Canis lupus familiaris: one gene and its partners. The protein of the gene in region 1 purifies or fractionates together with the protein of each later gene. This does not show direct contact. Links are inferred from orthologs where the notes say so. Each region holds a gene or a part of one and is shown in the gene's direction. Other genes may lie near its edges. The genes, in order: TUBB, EEF1A1, LRRK2 and RICTOR.

Evidence for each region.
Region 2: the proteins of TUBB (region 1) and EEF1A1 fractionate together in Homo sapiens (co-fractionation; 3 studies listed by BioGRID). This does not show direct contact. The link is inferred for Canis lupus familiaris from reciprocal best matches to the Homo sapiens genes TUBB and EEF1A1.
Region 3: the proteins of TUBB (region 1) and LRRK2 purify together in Homo sapiens (co-immunoprecipitation; 5 studies listed by BioGRID and IntAct, with this or other methods). This does not show direct contact. The link is inferred for Canis lupus familiaris from reciprocal best matches to the Homo sapiens genes TUBB and LRRK2.
Region 4: the proteins of TUBB (region 1) and RICTOR purify together in Homo sapiens (affinity purification with mass spectrometry; 3 studies listed by BioGRID and IntAct, with this or other methods). This does not show direct contact. The link is inferred for Canis lupus familiaris from reciprocal best matches to the Homo sapiens genes TUBB and RICTOR.

The regions. Positions count from the first base shown.
Region 1 is NC_049233.1:649,844-654,094, forward strand, and holds the start of TUBB (tubulin beta chain), read left to right. Parts: upstream 1-1,443; 5' UTR 1,444-1,643; coding exon 1,644-1,700; intron 1,701-3,006; coding exon 3,007-3,115; intron 3,116-3,335; coding exon 3,336-3,446; intron 3,447-3,740; coding exon 3,741-4,251. UniProt on the Homo sapiens protein: Tubulin is the major constituent of microtubules, a cylinder consisting of laterally associated linear protofilaments composed of alpha- and beta-tubulin heterodimers.
Region 2 is NC_049233.1:35,820,470-35,824,567, reverse strand, and holds the start of EEF1A1 (elongation factor 1-alpha 1), read left to right. Parts: upstream 1-1,288; intron 1,289-1,403; coding exon of another isoform or gene 1,404-1,512; intron 1,513-1,575; coding exon of another isoform or gene 1,576-1,676; intron 1,677-2,222; 5' UTR 2,223-2,256; coding exon 2,257-2,400; intron 2,401-2,663; coding exon 2,664-2,843; intron 2,844-2,957; coding exon 2,958-3,254; intron 3,255-3,355; coding exon 3,356-3,506; intron 3,507-3,592; coding exon 3,593-3,849; intron 3,850-3,927; coding exon 3,928-4,098. Other genes in the region: uncharacterized protein LOC119874198, read right to left, coding at 386-631, 958-1,288, 1,404-1,512, 1,576-1,676. UniProt on the Homo sapiens protein: Translation elongation factor that catalyzes the GTP-dependent binding of aminoacyl-tRNA (aa-tRNA) to the A-site of ribosomes during the elongation phase of protein synthesis.
Region 3 is NC_049248.1:33,236,151-33,239,710, forward strand, and holds part of LRRK2 (leucine-rich repeat serine/threonine-protein kinase 2), read left to right. Parts: intron 1-91; coding exon 92-321; intron 322-749; coding exon 750-877; intron 878-2,480; coding exon 2,481-2,699; intron 2,700-3,560. UniProt on the Homo sapiens protein: Serine/threonine-protein kinase which phosphorylates a broad range of proteins involved in multiple processes such as neuronal plasticity, innate immunity, autophagy, and vesicle trafficking.
Region 4 is NC_049225.1:70,811,261-70,815,279, forward strand, and holds the start of RICTOR (rapamycin-insensitive companion of mTOR), read left to right. Parts: upstream 1-1,176; 5' UTR 1,177-1,228; coding exon 1,229-1,277; intron 1,278-1,447; coding exon 1,448-1,495; intron 1,496-2,146; exon of another isoform or gene 2,147-2,656; intron 2,657-4,019. UniProt on the Homo sapiens protein: Component of the mechanistic target of rapamycin complex 2 (mTORC2), which transduces signals from growth factors to pathways involved in proliferation, cytoskeletal organization, lipogenesis and anabolic output.

The DNA.
Region 1 (4,251 bases):
GCAGAGGGAGAAGCAGGCTCCATGTAGGGAGCCCGATGTGGGACTCGACTCCGTGTCTCCAGGATCACGCCCTGCGAAGGCGCGCTAAACCGCTGAGCCACCAGGGCTGCCCTAAGAACCCCTTTTGATGGGGGAACAGAGGACTGGCTGAGGACAAAGCACAAGCCCAGGGCAGCACATTGACAAGCCCTTGAAACAGGCAGAGGGACCTTCCTCTACGGACTCAACTGCCTCGATGTTCATACTTTGCTAAGGAGAAAAGGCAATCTTAGCCCAACCCCCAGGATCCTGTAAGTCTTTTTAACATAAAAATTCCTTTAGAAAGATCCTTTATCTAAACCCACAAGATACATGTTGGCAATCATCCCCTAAGCACATGGCCCACCCACACACATCTAAAGGGTCTCACGAATCAGGTTTTATTAGCCGGTAATAAGTGACCTTTTCCCAACAATAGCTGGTCCCCTCAAGGTCCTGGAAACCTTGCTTCCAAATTCCTTAGAGAGTACGCTATCCTCAAACCCCTCCCAACTCCCAGGTATATAATCAGCCACCCCTCACCGGGCAGCAGCTCTTCCTGCCCACGGGTCCTGTCCCCCTGCTTTAATAAAACCACCATTTTGCACCAAAGATGTCTCAAGAATCCTTTCTTGGTCGTCGGCTCCGAACCTCACCTTATAATTCCAAAAACTTCATCACTTTCATGGATAGACTTCTGACTTCACAGATTCTACATACCAGCTTTTCTAAACCATTCAATTTATTTGAACACACCCTCAATTACATCTCTACTCTGAAAACCTATTGCTGCATTTTTGTTTCTCTTTCTAAACATTATCATTAGAAAATTTCCAAGGAAATAACAGGAGGGCCATCCCGTTTTTCCTATCTGGGGGAGCAGCGGCTTCCTGGATTTCATGCCGTGGGTCACCGAAGGACCCGCTGTTTGCTACCAGAGCAGGGTGCCGCATTTCTCCCCAGTTTTAGCTGAGCTAAGCAGCCCTCTTACCAAGAGCTACCGCAGCAGGGAACGTTCAGGGCGTGCCCACTTCGCCTTCCAACTCCTGGCACCCCAGGGTTCCCAATGCCTGTATCCCCCCCAAATGACTCCCTTTTAGTACAAAAAACTCAAGTGTAGGGGAAAGAAATTTGCGCAAGGTCATTTTTCATTAAAAAACAACAACAAGGCCAACTCTACCCCCCCCCCAACCAAAAATCCAGTATCCACTCATCCCTCCCTTCATTTTCCAGCGTAGACAACAATGGAGGACTACGACTCCCAGGGAGGCCAGCGTTCATCCACCCGAGCGGAGCCCAATAGACGAGACCTACGTGACCGGCACTGACCAATCGGGGCCCACTCCAGCGAGGCTTTGTCTGCCTGCCGCGGCGCGGGCGCTCTCCCGCCTGCAGCCTCCGCGCACGCGCGCCCCGCCCTGCCCGCCTTTCCTCCTTCTTCGCCCTCCCCGCTTCTTTCTACATCTCAACGTTCCTGTCGCTGCGCTCGGACCTCGTTGCTCCAGCCTCTGGACGCGTCCCATCCTTCCAGCCTGCGAATTGCAGTATAGGAAAAAACCCCATCTCACTTTCTGCCCCGTACACACCTTTGAGAGAAGCAAAAAGAATTAAAATAAATTTTAACAATGAGGGAAATCGTGCACATCCAGGCCGGTCAGTGTGGTAACCAGATCGGTGCCAAGGTAAGGATTTTAAGCCTTTTCTTTTAACTATTTTTTTTTTAGAAGAAAAACAAATCCAGCTAAATGATGAAGAATGTGGGACATATTTGCGTTCCATCCATTGTCCCGCTTTGCCCTCAAAAGTTTTCCATATACAATACACGGTTGCAGCTAGAATTTACTTTTGAAAAATGGGGGAATTGTACTTGGCTGGCTAATTTTGGGTGAGCTTTTGAGGACGTTTCGGGTTTGGAGTCGGAAGACTGGCTCTTTAAAATTTTACTTGAAAGTGTTGTAGTGGTCCGAGGAACGGGGAGAGAGGAGATGCGGAAACGGTCCGAGATACAGCGCGGAGAGGCTGTCCCCGTGTGCATCCCCTCCGCGGGGGGGGGCCCGGCTCCACGGAAGGGAGGGGGACAGGGAGCGCGGCTGGGCGGCGGCCGCGGGGTCCTGGGCCCACGGTGGGGAGGGGGGCGCGACGCGCCAGGGTGGGCTGCACCGCGCGGTGCCCGCCCCAAAAATGAGGGCAGTCCGCGAGGGGCGGTCCCGTAGGCCCTTGTGGATGGAAGATTGGTCCCTGCAGTATTAATTTCCTTTCATCTCCAGTAAAGAGACCCTTTTAGGGCGTGCACCGATATGGAGAAAGAGGGCGGGAGGATCCTTTTCTTTCAAGGGTCCCTCAGGGCTAAACGGTGGGAGAAGGGCCGAGAAGCCGTACTTAAAGCCAGGTATAACAAGCTAGCCAAGGAAGAAAATCGGAGGCTCAAGCGGGAGGTGGGGGTAGTTTCTTTTTCTGCGCGCGGTTACAGTGTGGCGGGGGCAGGGCAGGGAGGAAGTCCTGCTGCTACGTTGTAGCCCGGGGCTGGGCGGGGCGGGGCGGGGCTCCAAGCGCCGGGCTGGCCGGCTGGGGGCGCGCTAGCGGCACAGGCCCCCGCCCACGCGCGACGCCTCCCTTTGTCAGCGCCGACGGGCGGGCGCCGCAGTCACGTGGAGGGGCGTCCACTGCGGCGGCTTCTGTCCCTCGCCCCGGCTCGTGCGCGGGGGGAGGGTGTGCCGGTCGGCTCGGCTCGGAAGCCTCCGCCCGGCACACCCCCACCGCACCGCGTCCACCGGTCGCCGGGCCTCCGCGGCTGCACCCGAGCAGTGGACGCTGCAGCCCTTAGGGGGCTGCGGGTGTCTGGTGGAGGGCGCGGCAGGCAAGCAGAGCGCCCGGTAGGCGGCGGAGGTGCGCTCTCCGTGTGCGTGTTTGCACTTGAAATGTGTCGGTCGGGTGGGCATCACTGGCTGGGACCAGAGCTGTGCAAGTCTCCCTGCTCTTCCTCGGCAGTTCTGGGAGGTCATCAGCGATGAACACGGCATCGATCCCACCGGAACCTACCACGGTGACAGCGACCTGCAGCTGGATCGCATCTCCGTGTATTACAACGAAGCTACAGGTGAGGGCGGGAACGGGGAACGCGGGGCTCCCACTTCTCCGGGGTCTCCTTTCCAGCCCTGGAGAACCCACCTTGGGATGGGTCTGATTTTTAAAGAAGGTCTTACCCTGATTTGACTTCACGGTGGGGCAAAAGATCAGCTCTGCTGCCCCCTGGTGTCCTCCAGCTCAGCTCCATTTGGTCTTCTAGTCCACCAATTCTTATTCTTTCTTCCATATAGGTGGCAAATACGTACCTCGTGCTATCTTGGTGGATCTAGAACCTGGGACCATGGACTCTGTTCGCTCTGGTCCTTTTGGGCAGATATTCAGACCAGACAACTTTGTTTTTGGTGAGTTATGCACATATTAGTAGTGCTATTCAGTGTATTTGAAGGAAGGAGACTGCAAGAGCTAAGAAGTTATTTTTAATGCTGGAGCGTTTATCTGGGGATATGTTTTGAGATCTCTAACGCAGGGTGTTGGGAATGACCGCCTTAGATGGTAGATACTGAGGCAGGGATGTATCACAGGTGAGTAAGAAAAAAGGCACATTCGTGTATGTTATTTTAAAAGCTGAAGAGTGGAAATGGTCCTTTATCTTTGATGCTTTGCTAATAAAGAGAATTTTGTTCACCTCATTCCAGGGCAGTCTGGGGCTGGCAACAACTGGGCCAAGGGCCACTACACAGAGGGGGCTGAGCTAGTGGACTCAGTCCTGGATGTGGTGCGGAAGGAAGCTGAGAGCTGTGACTGCCTGCAGGGCTTCCAGCTGACCCACTCACTGGGTGGGGGCACAGGCTCTGGCATGGGCACGCTGCTCATCAGCAAGATCCGAGAAGAGTACCCTGACCGCATCATGAACACCTTCAGTGTGGTGCCCTCCCCCAAAGTGTCTGACACGGTGGTTGAGCCCTACAATGCCACTCTCTCTGTCCATCAGTTGGTAGAGAACACGGATGAGACCTATTGCATTGACAATGAGGCCCTGTACGACATCTGCTTCCGCACCCTCAAGCTGACCACGCCAACCTATGGGGACCTCAACCACCTTGTCTCAGCCACCATGAGTGGTGTCACCACCTGCCTCCGCTTCCCTGGTCAGCTCAATGCTGACCTCCGCAAGCTGGCAGTCAACATGGTGCCCTTCCCACGTCT
Region 2 (4,098 bases), about 35 Mb from region 1:
AGGCCTCATCCGGTTTCGCCCTAAATTTATGCTCAAATGGAGTTAAAATCCATTTAACAGAAAATGAACTAATTTATTTAAATGGGCTAGGCCACCTTTAAGAAGCAGTGATTCGCAGCAAGTGTTGGGGATAGGAAATTGGGTGGATAAGCTTGCTGAAGCCGTAGATCTTAGTTTCTACTTGAGATCATGCGGAAAGACTGAATTTGAAAAATTCTTTTTAGGTTGCTCATGCTAGCAATCAAATGAGTGTACACTGTAGAAAAAATGTACCACGAGAGTAGACACACATAGGGTCTTTCTATAACGTAATGAAACTAGAGTTAAAAGGCAGACTGTGGGATTGAAATCTATTCTGAACTGAAGAACTAGACGTCTGGAGTACCATATGGGGTGAACGTGTGACTCGGGCTTCGGTAAAAGCAGCGGGCTCGGACTGGAACAAGCCAAAAGGCTAGCCCAAGAGCACATTCGTCCGGGTCACGGCCACCGAGTTGAAACCCTTGCGGATTCTCCGGCTGTGAAGGCGGCCCCTCGGGTCCCTCGCTGCCCTGGGAGCCCGGGCCTTGTACTCTCCAGCCCCGAGAGGAAGAGAAGGCAGGGGCGAGGGAGGAGCCAGCCCAGGGCGGACCTGCGACGAGCGGAGGAAGCGGCTCAAAGGGGCAGTCCTGGACCTTGGAGAGGACCAGGTTAAGAACTGGAGGTATACTGCGGAGGGAAGGCGTACTCCAATCGCCACACCATCTTTGCAGTTAAACCAGGAACCGTAGAGGGCAGATTCAGTACTTCCCCGCAGGGCCGCCTCCTCGCCCCCCCGCCCGCCCCTTCAGCTGGAGCTGAGAGTAATTCATACAAAGGAGGACTCGCTTCAGCCTCGGGGAATCCCAGGGACCGTCGTTAAACTCTCACTAACATAGAACGAGCGGAAAGCTCGTCCCCGCCTCCCCACCCACTCACTCTCGCCGTCATCGGGGTCAAGAGGAGCATGCGCGAGGAGATGTGCGCTCTTTAGTGGGCTGAGCGCACATCGCCCACGGTCCCCGAGCAGTAGGGGGAGGGGATGGCGACCGAACCGGTGCCTGATGGAGTTGGCGCGGGGTAAACTGGGAAAGTGGTGTCGTGTGCTGGCTCCGCCCTCTTCCCCGAGGGTGGGGGAGGACCGTATATAAGTGCCGTAGCCGCCTTGAACGTTCTTTTTCGCAACGGGTTTGCCGCCAGAACACAGGTGAGTGCCGGGTGTGGCTCCCGCGGGCCTGGCCTCTTTGAGCTGCCAGCGGCCCTCGCGTGCCTTTTACAACGGCCGCGCCACCGAGCCACTTTACGATGTTCTTGACCCCGAATTTCGGATTGTGAGTGGGTGGGAAGGTTCCAGGCCTTGCGCCTTTTTTTAGGACCCCTTTTGCCTCGTGGTTGGTTTGAGGCCTGGCTTGGGTGTTGTGGCGGCCGCGTGCGAATTCCGCCGCACCTTCTTGCCTGCCCTCGTACAGTGGTTTAAGCCTCCAGACGTTTGACCTACCAAAAGAAGGCCGCTATGGTTTTCTCCGTCGAGATGGTTGAGCGGAGGTTGGTCAGGACTTGAACGGGGTGGGCTTTTCCGCGGTCGTCGCGTTCTTGGGGTGTGGGGCCGCCGCGAGGCGCGGAGGGCGGCGACGAGGCCCGCTCGTCCCGGCGCACATGTCCGACGAGGCGGGGAAGGCCCACGAGCCGTGGGCGCCGCGTCGGACGCGGGAGAGTCCCGTGGAGTGGGCCGGGCGGCTCTGGTGCCGGGCCTCGCGCCGCGATGTACCGTCCTACGCCGGGCGGAGAGGCCGGCCCGCTCGGCACCAGTTGCGTGCGCGGAAAGATGGCCGCTCTCCGGCCCTGCTGCAGGCAGCTCAAAATGGAGGACGCGGCGGCCCGGGAGAGCGGGCGGGTGAGTCACCCACACAAAGGAAAAGGGCCTTTCCCTGTTAGGCCGCTGCTTCCTGTGACCCTACGGTGTACCGAACGCCGTCTTGGCACCTCCATTCCGCCTCAACGCCTTACAAGCAGGCCTTCCCCGGAGGGGGGAGGGGATTTTATGCGGTGGAGTTAACCCCACGCTTGGTGGGTGGAGACGAGAGTTGGGCCAGCTTGGCCCTGGTTGTAATTCTTGGAATTTGGTCTCTGCGAGTTTGGTCGTGGCTTATTTTCAAGCCTCCGGGACAGTAGTTAAAAGGGTTTGTTCCTACCCTAAAATTTAGGTGTCGTGAAAACCACCGCTAAACCTAAACCAAAATGGGAAAGGAGAAGACTCACATCAACATCGTCGTCATTGGACACGTAGATTCGGGCAAGTCTACCACTACTGGCCATCTGATCTACAAATGTGGTGGGATCGACAAAAGAACTATCGAAAAATTTGAGAAGGAGGCTGCTGAGGTTGGTATACTAACTTAATGAGAGATCGTTAAAAAAAAGTCGGCCAGTGTCAACTTCCCCAAAACTAGTTACTAGTCTATCAGAATCTGCTGCTTGTGGTAGATTGTTTGTGCTTGCTGAAGAGTTTTTTATCTATGTAACTTTGGGAGATAGAACTACCTAACTGTAAAGTGGAATCCGCATTTCTGCTTAAGCAGGAGTTAGGGATTTCAAGTTGGAAGTTTGTGTTTAAGTTACCAAGTAACCATTCTTAATCCTTACAGATGGGAAAAGGCTCCTTCAAGTATGCCTGGGTCTTGGATAAACTGAAAGCTGAACGTGAACGTGGTATCACCATTGATATCTCCCTGTGGAAATTCGAGACCAGCAAGTATTACGTGACCATCATTGATGCCCCAGGACACAGAGACTTTATCAAAAACATGATTACAGGCACATCTCAGGTTTGTAGGATTACTTGAAAATAACTGTAGGCTTGGGTTTTGTATGGGAAAAAAGGGGGAGTTCATCTTTTTGAGGAACATTTATTTAACAGGATGTCTTTTTGTCTTTTAAAGGCTGACTGTGCTGTCCTGATTGTTGCTGCTGGTGTTGGTGAATTTGAAGCAGGTATCTCCAAGAATGGGCAGACCCGTGAGCATGCCCTTCTGGCTTACACACTGGGTGTAAAACAACTAATTGTTGGTGTTAACAAAATGGATTCCACTGAACCACCCTACAGCCAGAAGAGATACGAGGAAATCGTTAAAGAAGTCAGCACCTACATTAAGAAAATTGGCTACAACCCCGACACAGTAGCATTTGTGCCAATTTCTGGTTGGAATGGTGACAACATGCTGGAGCCAAGTGCTAACGTAAGTGACTTCAAGGCTTTGAGGAAGTGATAGAAGAGGCATATGTTGACACTAAATGACAACAGTTTGGGGAATGCTAATGGACAATCTTGTTTTTTTAGATGCCTTGGTTCAAGGGATGGAAAGTCACCCGTAAAGATGGGAATGCCAGCGGAACCACACTGCTTGAAGCCCTGGATTGCATTCTGCCACCAACTCGTCCAACTGATAAGCCCTTGCGTCTGCCTCTCCAAGACGTCTACAAAATTGGTGGTAAGTTGAACATTGCCATTTAAAAATACGATTTATGGATTGTTCTTCACAGAAGGTATCTGACACGATGCTTCTAAATATTTTAGGTATTGGTACTGTCCCAGTGGGTCGAGTGGAGACTGGTGTTCTTAAGCCTGGTATGGTGGTCACCTTTGCTCCAGTCAATGTTACAACTGAAGTAAAGTCTGTTGAAATGCACCATGAAGCTTTGAGTGAGGCTCTTCCTGGGGACAATGTGGGCTTCAATGTCAAGAACGTATCTGTCAAAGATGTTCGTCGTGGCAATGTGGCTGGTGACAGCAAAAATGACCCACCAATGGAAGCAGCTGGCTTCACAGCTCAGGTAACACACTTAAGAGTGGCAATGTTCTCTTTGCTAGATCCTGTTTGAAATGTATTAAATGCAATTTTTTCCTCCAAGGTGATTATCCTGAACCATCCAGGCCAAATCAGTGCTGGATATGCACCTGTGCTGGATTGTCACACAGCTCACATTGCCTGCAAGTTTGCTGAGCTGAAGGAAAAGATAGATCGTCGTTCTGGAAAGAAGCTGGAAGATGGTCCCAAGTTCTTGAAATCTGGGGATGCTGCC
Region 3 (3,560 bases), on another chromosome or scaffold:
ATTTTAAAAATTTCAATGAATAAGAATTCACCTATATCTTAAGTACACTGTTAAGCAGTTTATCATTTAATTTTTGTTTTTCAAATACCAGGTTTCTTCAACAGCGGTTAAAAAAGGCTGTGCCCTATAACCGAATGAAGCTTATGATTGTGGGAAATACTGGGAGTGGTAAAACTACCTTATTGCAGCAATTAACAAAAACCAAGAAATCAGATCTCGGGGTGCAGAGTGCCACAGTTGGTATAGATGTAAAAGACTGGCCTATCCAAATAAGAGGCAAAGGGAAGAAAGACCTCATTCTAAATGTGTGGGATTTTGCAGGTATTTATTTTGCTAAAATCCTTTATTCAGAATTTTCTTTTATTTAGGACAGGGATTTAAAAGCTGAGATCTTATTCCAATACTGCAGAGAGACCCAGTAGATCCTATGGAATTATTCCAAAGCCATTTACTTCTAATTTTACCCTTGCCACCAGAGTGAATTTCATGGAATTCTGGTGTTAGGAACTAACAGTTGGAGCCAGCTGAAGCTTCAATACTTCAGGGGGTTGGTAATTGACACACACGCTAAAAGTTACCAACTCCTAGTACGAGCCCAATGGGGTCTTCTAAACATTGTCTTTGGCTATTTCTATCTCTCTCTCTTTTTGTATGCTAAATATTAGATATTATCACCTAAGAAAAAAACTTTTTAAAGGCTTCTTGCTTATTGTTTGGAAAGCTAAAAGAAGTCTCTAATCCTTCTTTAGGTCGTGAGGAATTCTACAGCACTCATCCCCACTTCATGACCCAACGAGCCCTTTACCTTGCTGTTTATGATCTCAGCAAAGGGCAGGCTGAAGTGGATGCCATGAAGCCTTGGCTCTTCAATATAAAGGTCAAGTGTTCTAATTATTTGAAAGTAGAAAATATTTTTTAGGGATGCCTGGGTGGCTTAGCGGTTGGGTGTCTGCCTTTGGCTCAGTGCATGATCCCGGGTTCCCGGGTTCAAGTCCCACATCAGGCTTGCTGCATGGAGCCTGCTTCTCCCTCTGCCCGTGTCTCTGCCTCTGTGTCTCTCATGGATAAATAAATAAAATCTTAATTTTTTAAAAAAATTTTCTACATGTAATGTAATTGATTTTGGACAGTTGCTTCAAACAGCCTCCTAAGTTTTTAAAAATAAAATTAGAAGCATTAACGTTTTGAGTTGAGAATTTTAAAGTGTAATTAGGTTGTGACATGAAAATAGTGTATTCCATATTGGTAAATGTTATGGATACTTAAAGCCCTTTAAGCTGAAAGAATGGAAAATGTATAACTATTTTTGATCATTTTATTTTATTTTATTTTTGAGGAGGGAGGGGCAGAGTGAAAGGGAGAGAGAATCCCAAGCAGCAGGCTTCATGCCCAGCGTGGAGCCTAATGCAGGGATCAATCTTAAAACCCTGAGATCATGACCTGAGCTGAGATCAAGAGTTAGATTCTTAACTGACTGAGCCACCTGGGCACCCTTGATCGTTTTATTTCTTAAATGGAGGATGAACTTCCCTGACTTAAACTATACTAAACAAAAGCAATCCATACATCATCAGTTATGTCCTCACTGGCAATGTAGTAAGAAGTACTTCAGATCTTGCACTTTTAAATGGCATCAGATTAATAAACTCTTATATCTGGAATCCCTTTTTGTAATTTTTCCACTTTGTCCCTTGCTGTCATGCTGTTAGGTGTTTCTTGATGTAGTACAGCTTTTTAGAATTGAGATAAAGCAAGAGTGAGTGATGTTCTTTGAATGAAGCATCAGTGGGCTCTCCTGTGAGCCAAGTCCTTAAAAGAGTTTGTGTCAGGACATTTTAGCAGATATTTTGGCTGCATACAAGCCCATTTTGTAATTTTGGTAATTTTTTTAACTTCCTTTTTTTTTGGGTCATAGCTAGCCAAAGTGAGCGAATATTATAGTGGTGGTCATACTTGCTCTAGTACCTTTTTTTGTTGTTGTTCCTGTGGACTCCAAATCGAATGACTTTAAAATGAATTCAGGAGATTGAATTTATAGATAAGGAAGAGAAAATATAAACCATATTATGTCATTTTGATATAGTCTTGGGTTTATTAAATGCTTATTTTATTTAGAAGTCCAAAATACACTTACAGAATAACCCATTTTAAGGCATAAAAGAAAAAAATAGACTTCTGTTATATAGGCTGCCTGAAAAGTGGTATAACTTGGAATAAGAAGGAGTATAAGAATGACTTTAAAATTTTTTAAGGTTAAAAGATAATAAAATAAAATAAAATAAAATAAAATAAAATTTCTTAAGGTTACCTTTTCCCCCTAAGTTTAAGGAAGGAAAGACAGTTGACATTTTCTTCTTCTTGATGTCTTTTAATTTCTAATTTCCACTCAACTGAATTTCATAAAGAGTAAATATGAACAGAACTGTAAGCGGTCTTGATTTTAAAACAAACACAAGAATATTTTGTATCACTTCCTATAGGCTCGTGCTTCTTCTTCCCCTGTGATCCTCGTTGGCACGCATTTGGATGTTTCTGATGAAAAGCAGCGTAAAGCCTGCATAAGTAAAATCACCAAGGAACTCTTGAACAAGCGAGGGTTTCCTGCAATAAGGGATTACCACTTTGTGAATGCCACTGAGGAATCTGATGCTTTGGCAAAACTTCGGAAAACCATCATAAATGAGAGTCTTAATTTTAAGGTAACGTGGTTAATGCCTTCTGTAGACTGGTGAATAAGTATAATTTATTAACTCTCATGTTACACAACTGTCAGAAGTCTTGAGAAGAGAACAACTGTCTTAAAATTGTGAGTTTTTTTCATAGCTGTTAGGATTACTAAAGTATTTCAATTTTAAGGTTTCTTACTTCTGTCATTCCTCATTTCAAATGCATAGAAATGGGAATAAAACTAATTAGAGGATCCTGAAGGAAACGAATGTCTGAGAGGCTGAATGTTTCTGAGAGAATCTGAGAACGTGTTTCTGATGCCCTTTCTCTCACAACTTTTTGTAGTGATAATTCAGCCAAAGAATACGAGTGAATATTGGGGTCTCAGGATCATCTTTCCTCTATTCTTTGTTCTTTCTCCACTTGCTCCTTTCTTTTGGAGTTTCTCTTTTATGTACACCCTGATCTGTGCTTCCTTCACATCTCTTATCAGTGTGATACCCATTCCACATGTTTTTCTTCCCTCAGTATTGTGAGATGGCTCTTTCATGAGGTTGCCAAGATTGTGAATTTGATTTTCAACAATGTCTAAGCAATTTTTTAGTCCATATAAACTGGGTTTTCAATTTTATTTATTTTTAAAGACTTTATTTATGTTTTTGACAAAAGAGAGAGGGAGAGAGTGTGTGCATAGTAGGGGGAGAAGCAGAGAAAGAGGGAGAAGCTGACTCCCCACTGAGCAGGGACCCCAATGTAGGGCTCAAACCCCAGGACCCCAAGATCATGACCTGAGCTGAAGGCAGACACTTGACTGAGCCACCCAGGTGCCCTTGGGTTTTCTACTTTAGAAATTACGTTTTGATTTCCAAAGTTCTAGTAAGCCAAATATAATT
Region 4 (4,019 bases), on another chromosome or scaffold:
TTGCAATTGCTCACCATGATTCACAACGGCAAATGTTATCTCCAGTCTTGCTTTTTTTTGTTTTTTTTTTTCCTTAAGTAACGCAAAAAAGAGCACTGGAACAAAGGAACCCAAGGCACTTATTATTCATCGAACTTATTATTTATTGAATGCTTATTTATCCTGGACATTGCACGACCTGGGAGGAGAGAGGTCGTTAAAGCAGGAGCTCCACTGTTTAACTTCCAGTCTCTTGTGATTTAAAAAAGAAAAAACAACCACACACACACACCAAGTTGGGGAATAGGAGGCGGCACGAGGCTCACCCGGTCTTGAAAGTTCGTGCACTTTAAAGAGAAGGCTGCTGGGTCAGAGGCCAGGTGTCTGTGTATGGACTGGGTGAAGCAGTTTCTGGAATTGAAAGCTCCACCGCGAGTAACGACTGGGTTTCCGCGCGGACAATGCGAAGCCGCCACCCCTCCGGGGGCCGGGCTCGGGCCGCACGCCCCGGGGAGCCGGAGCCGGAGCCGCCCGCCGCCCCCGGGTCCCCCCGCGCCGCCCCCGGGTCCCCCCGCGCCGCCCCGCGCCCTCCGCTTCCCGCCTCCCTCCCGCCGGCGGCCCGGGACCGAGCGCCCGCCCGGCCGCCCCCTTGGACCGAGTGTGGCTCGGAAGCCCCAAGCGCAGGCTGCTTCGCGCGCGGCGGTCGCGGCCGAGGGCGGAAACCAAGTTGGCTTAACGCGCCGAGTCGGCCGCAGCGAAGCGGTCCGGGAAGGGCCCGCGCCAGGCGACGCCGCGCAGCTGTGCCCGTGCAGAGCGCACGGGGTCTCGACTGGCGAGCGGCGAGGGCAGGGCTGCTCCCGGCTCGCCTCGGCTCCCGTTACAGTCCCCGCCGCCCCGGAGGGGGAGCGTCTTCCACGCGGCAGGCCCCGTCAATGGGATTCCCCTCGTGGGCACTGCCGCCTCCCGGCACGCGGGCTCTCGGAGGGCCGGGCGCGCCGGGGGGGGGGGGGGGGGCGCGCGCCGCGAGCTGCACCGAGCCCCGGGGTGGGCGCCGCGCCCCTGCTCGCCCCTCCTCGCCCCTCCTCGCCCTCCTCGCCCCTCCTCGCCCCGGGCCGAGCCCCCGCCGCCGCCGCCGCCGCGCGCGCGGAGGGGGGCTGTGGGGGAGGGGGCGGGCGCGGCGCGCGGGGCAGGGAAGGGGTTCTCGCGCGATCGGGCGAGGTTTCCGGTGTTGTGACTGAAACCCGTCAATATGGCGGCGATCGGCCGCGGCCGCTCGCTGAAGAACCTCCGAATACGAGGTAAGCCCGCTGCAACCCTCCCCCCCACTGCCTGGGGCCCGCGACCCCTGGCCCCGGCCTCCCCCTGGCCTCGGGCAGGCGGGGCCCTCAGGGGCGCTGGCCGGAGCCGGGGCCGCCGCCGCCGGCCTGCGAGCGCGTCCTAACCGGAGCTGTGTGTCTGTTTCGCACAGGGCGGAATGACAGCGGCGAGGAGAACGTCCCGCTGGATCTGACCCGAGGTAACGCGGGGCGCCGCGGGCGCCGGCCGGGGCGCGCTGTGGGGAGGGGCCGGGGGCGGGGGCCGGGGCCGGGGCCGGGGGCCGGGGGCAGGGGCGGGCCCCGCGCGGGCGGCGGGGGCGCGGGAGGCAGAGCCCGAGCCCGAGCCCGAGCCCGAGCCCGAGCCCGGGGCCGCCTCCCGGGACCCATCCCCCTTCCCAGTGCCCGCGCCCCGCGCCCCGCGCCTTTCTCCGGGCCTCCGGGTGCGGCGGGCGCCGGCCCACGCCGAGCGGGACTCCGCGGGGCGGGCGACCCCCGGGGCTCTCCGCACCCCCGCCCGGAGGCGGCCGGCGGGAGGTCGGGCTGTTACTTAGGCTGCCGGAGGATGTCGGAGGGAAGAGCGACCACATCCTGCCCTCCCCGTCCCCCCGCGCGGCGGCCGGACCTGCCGGGTCCTTGCCGGCCCGCGCCGCTGCTTTCCTCCTTGCCCCCCGGCCCCGGGCGGTGGGGGGGGGGGGCAGCGTGGCTGACTCGGCAGTGACCCCTGGAATCGGGGACTGCGGCTCGGTGTCTGGGCTGCGCCGGCGGTCCATGCCCGCTTCCCGTGCCCGGGCGGCTGGGACCGTAGTTGGCCGAGACCGCCCCCTCACCCTCGCCGCAGGTTCATTGTTTACCTTCTGCCGCGGCGGCGGGTTTGTTTACACCTTGGGAACGGGGCGAACCCCGCGCTGGCGTTTGGAAGGACCCGGTCCAGCTACTGGCCAGCGAATCTCCCGTGTAGTTCACCGTGCTGGAGTCTGTTCGACAGTATCTCGCCCAAGATGTAGTAGTTACACGCCAAGGATTTTTTTCTTTCTTTTCTTTCTTTCTTTCTTTATTTCTTTTTTTTTCCCCCCTTCCACCGTAAACAGGATTTGGTCTACTGATGCCAAAGAAGTCCGATTTCACACTGGCTGTAGCCGAGTGTAAACTGGTTCGGCTGCCTGAGAATCGGCTTCCTTTCTGAGATCTGAAAAACACTTTAGGAAGTCCGAGTCGTAAACATTTTATTAGAAATTCGAAAAATCTAACCCGTGTGCTGCTTGACGCAACGACTGTTATCTAAAGTATTTGTCAGACGCAGGCCCATTGTTGAGGCTCATCCCTGGTATTTAAAGCATAATGCATTATCTGGCTTGCCTTATTTTGTCTGTCCTAGGGTAAGATAACTGTGTCATCAACTAAACAGCTACTTTCCATGTAGCTGCCAGAGTACGTTTTTGTAAGAATCTTTCATTCTGAAAGTTCAGGGACTTTGCTTTGGCCGAAACTAGGTGCTGGTGTGACAGGCAGAAAGGGTTTCTACCGATGCACTGAATTGGAACTTCTTTCAGCAGATAGGGTTTGAGTGTTAGTATACAAAGATGTAAACGCTTTTGACTGTTGTGTAACCTTTTGGAAACCTCACTATATAAAACACACACGAAAAAAATCTATGTAAAATGTGTGTGGGGAAAAGATTTTCTAGTAAGTTTCCTTACAAAAACGAAATTCCCACGGAGTTGAAAATTAGCATTTGAGTTCTGTAACAGATGTGCTTTATTAGTGATTTAATTTCTATGTGGGCATATGCGTCTATATGGTGAAAAGAGCATTTATTAGATCTTCTGTCTCAATTTCACGTTAAAAGCTTGTTGGGATGTGGTGCTGAAAACAAGTTATATTTGTGCCTTAGGTTTGCTGAGCTGCTATATATAGTAGTTTCTGTGGTTGGTATCAAAATTTTGGTTTGTAAAAGAGCTCATGTACAAATTTGATAAACCCTTGATTTACTCCAATCTTACTCAAGTACACAGATAACTCTGTATGTTTACTATTTAAAATGTCATATGCCCGGAGCACTTTGTGAACACCATTGTTGACAGGCATTTTTAGGATGATGCAAAAGGCAGAAGAAAATGGTATTTCTGCTTGCCCTGACAAAATACAAATTAGTTTGGAATATACACAGCCAATTGCAATGGATTGCAAAAGACATATGCAAATAAGAGAGGCTATATAGGAATAAAACATTCATTATATAGGGAAGTTATAGAAGTACTAGTAGATCTAAGGTGATGAAAATCACAAAGAATTACACTTTTGTAATAGTTTGAGAACTATAGGGCAGTTTGGGTTGCAGCCGAAGGGCAGCTGTTTGTGGATTGGATTACGGTATGTTTTAGATAAGATTGGGTAACCAAAACTAGGTTTTTAATGCGAAGGCAGTGTTTGCCCTCATTTTAATTGTTCTATGCAACCTTTGAGAAGTTCGTTAATGTAGCTATCTCACAAAGTTCATCATTAAATAGAGGTCATGGTCATTGTAATTCCTAAAGGAGCCAATCAATGTATAGTGAAAAGAGATCAGACTGTAAAGTCAAATAGTTCTGGGTTGTAATCTCAGCTAGGATCCTTAATAGTTAGGTGATGTGGGGCAAGTTATTTGACCTTGCTTAACTCTTGGTTTCTTCATCTCAGAGAGAACTTCAAAGGGTTATTAAGAATGTGAGAAGTAAATGAACTAAT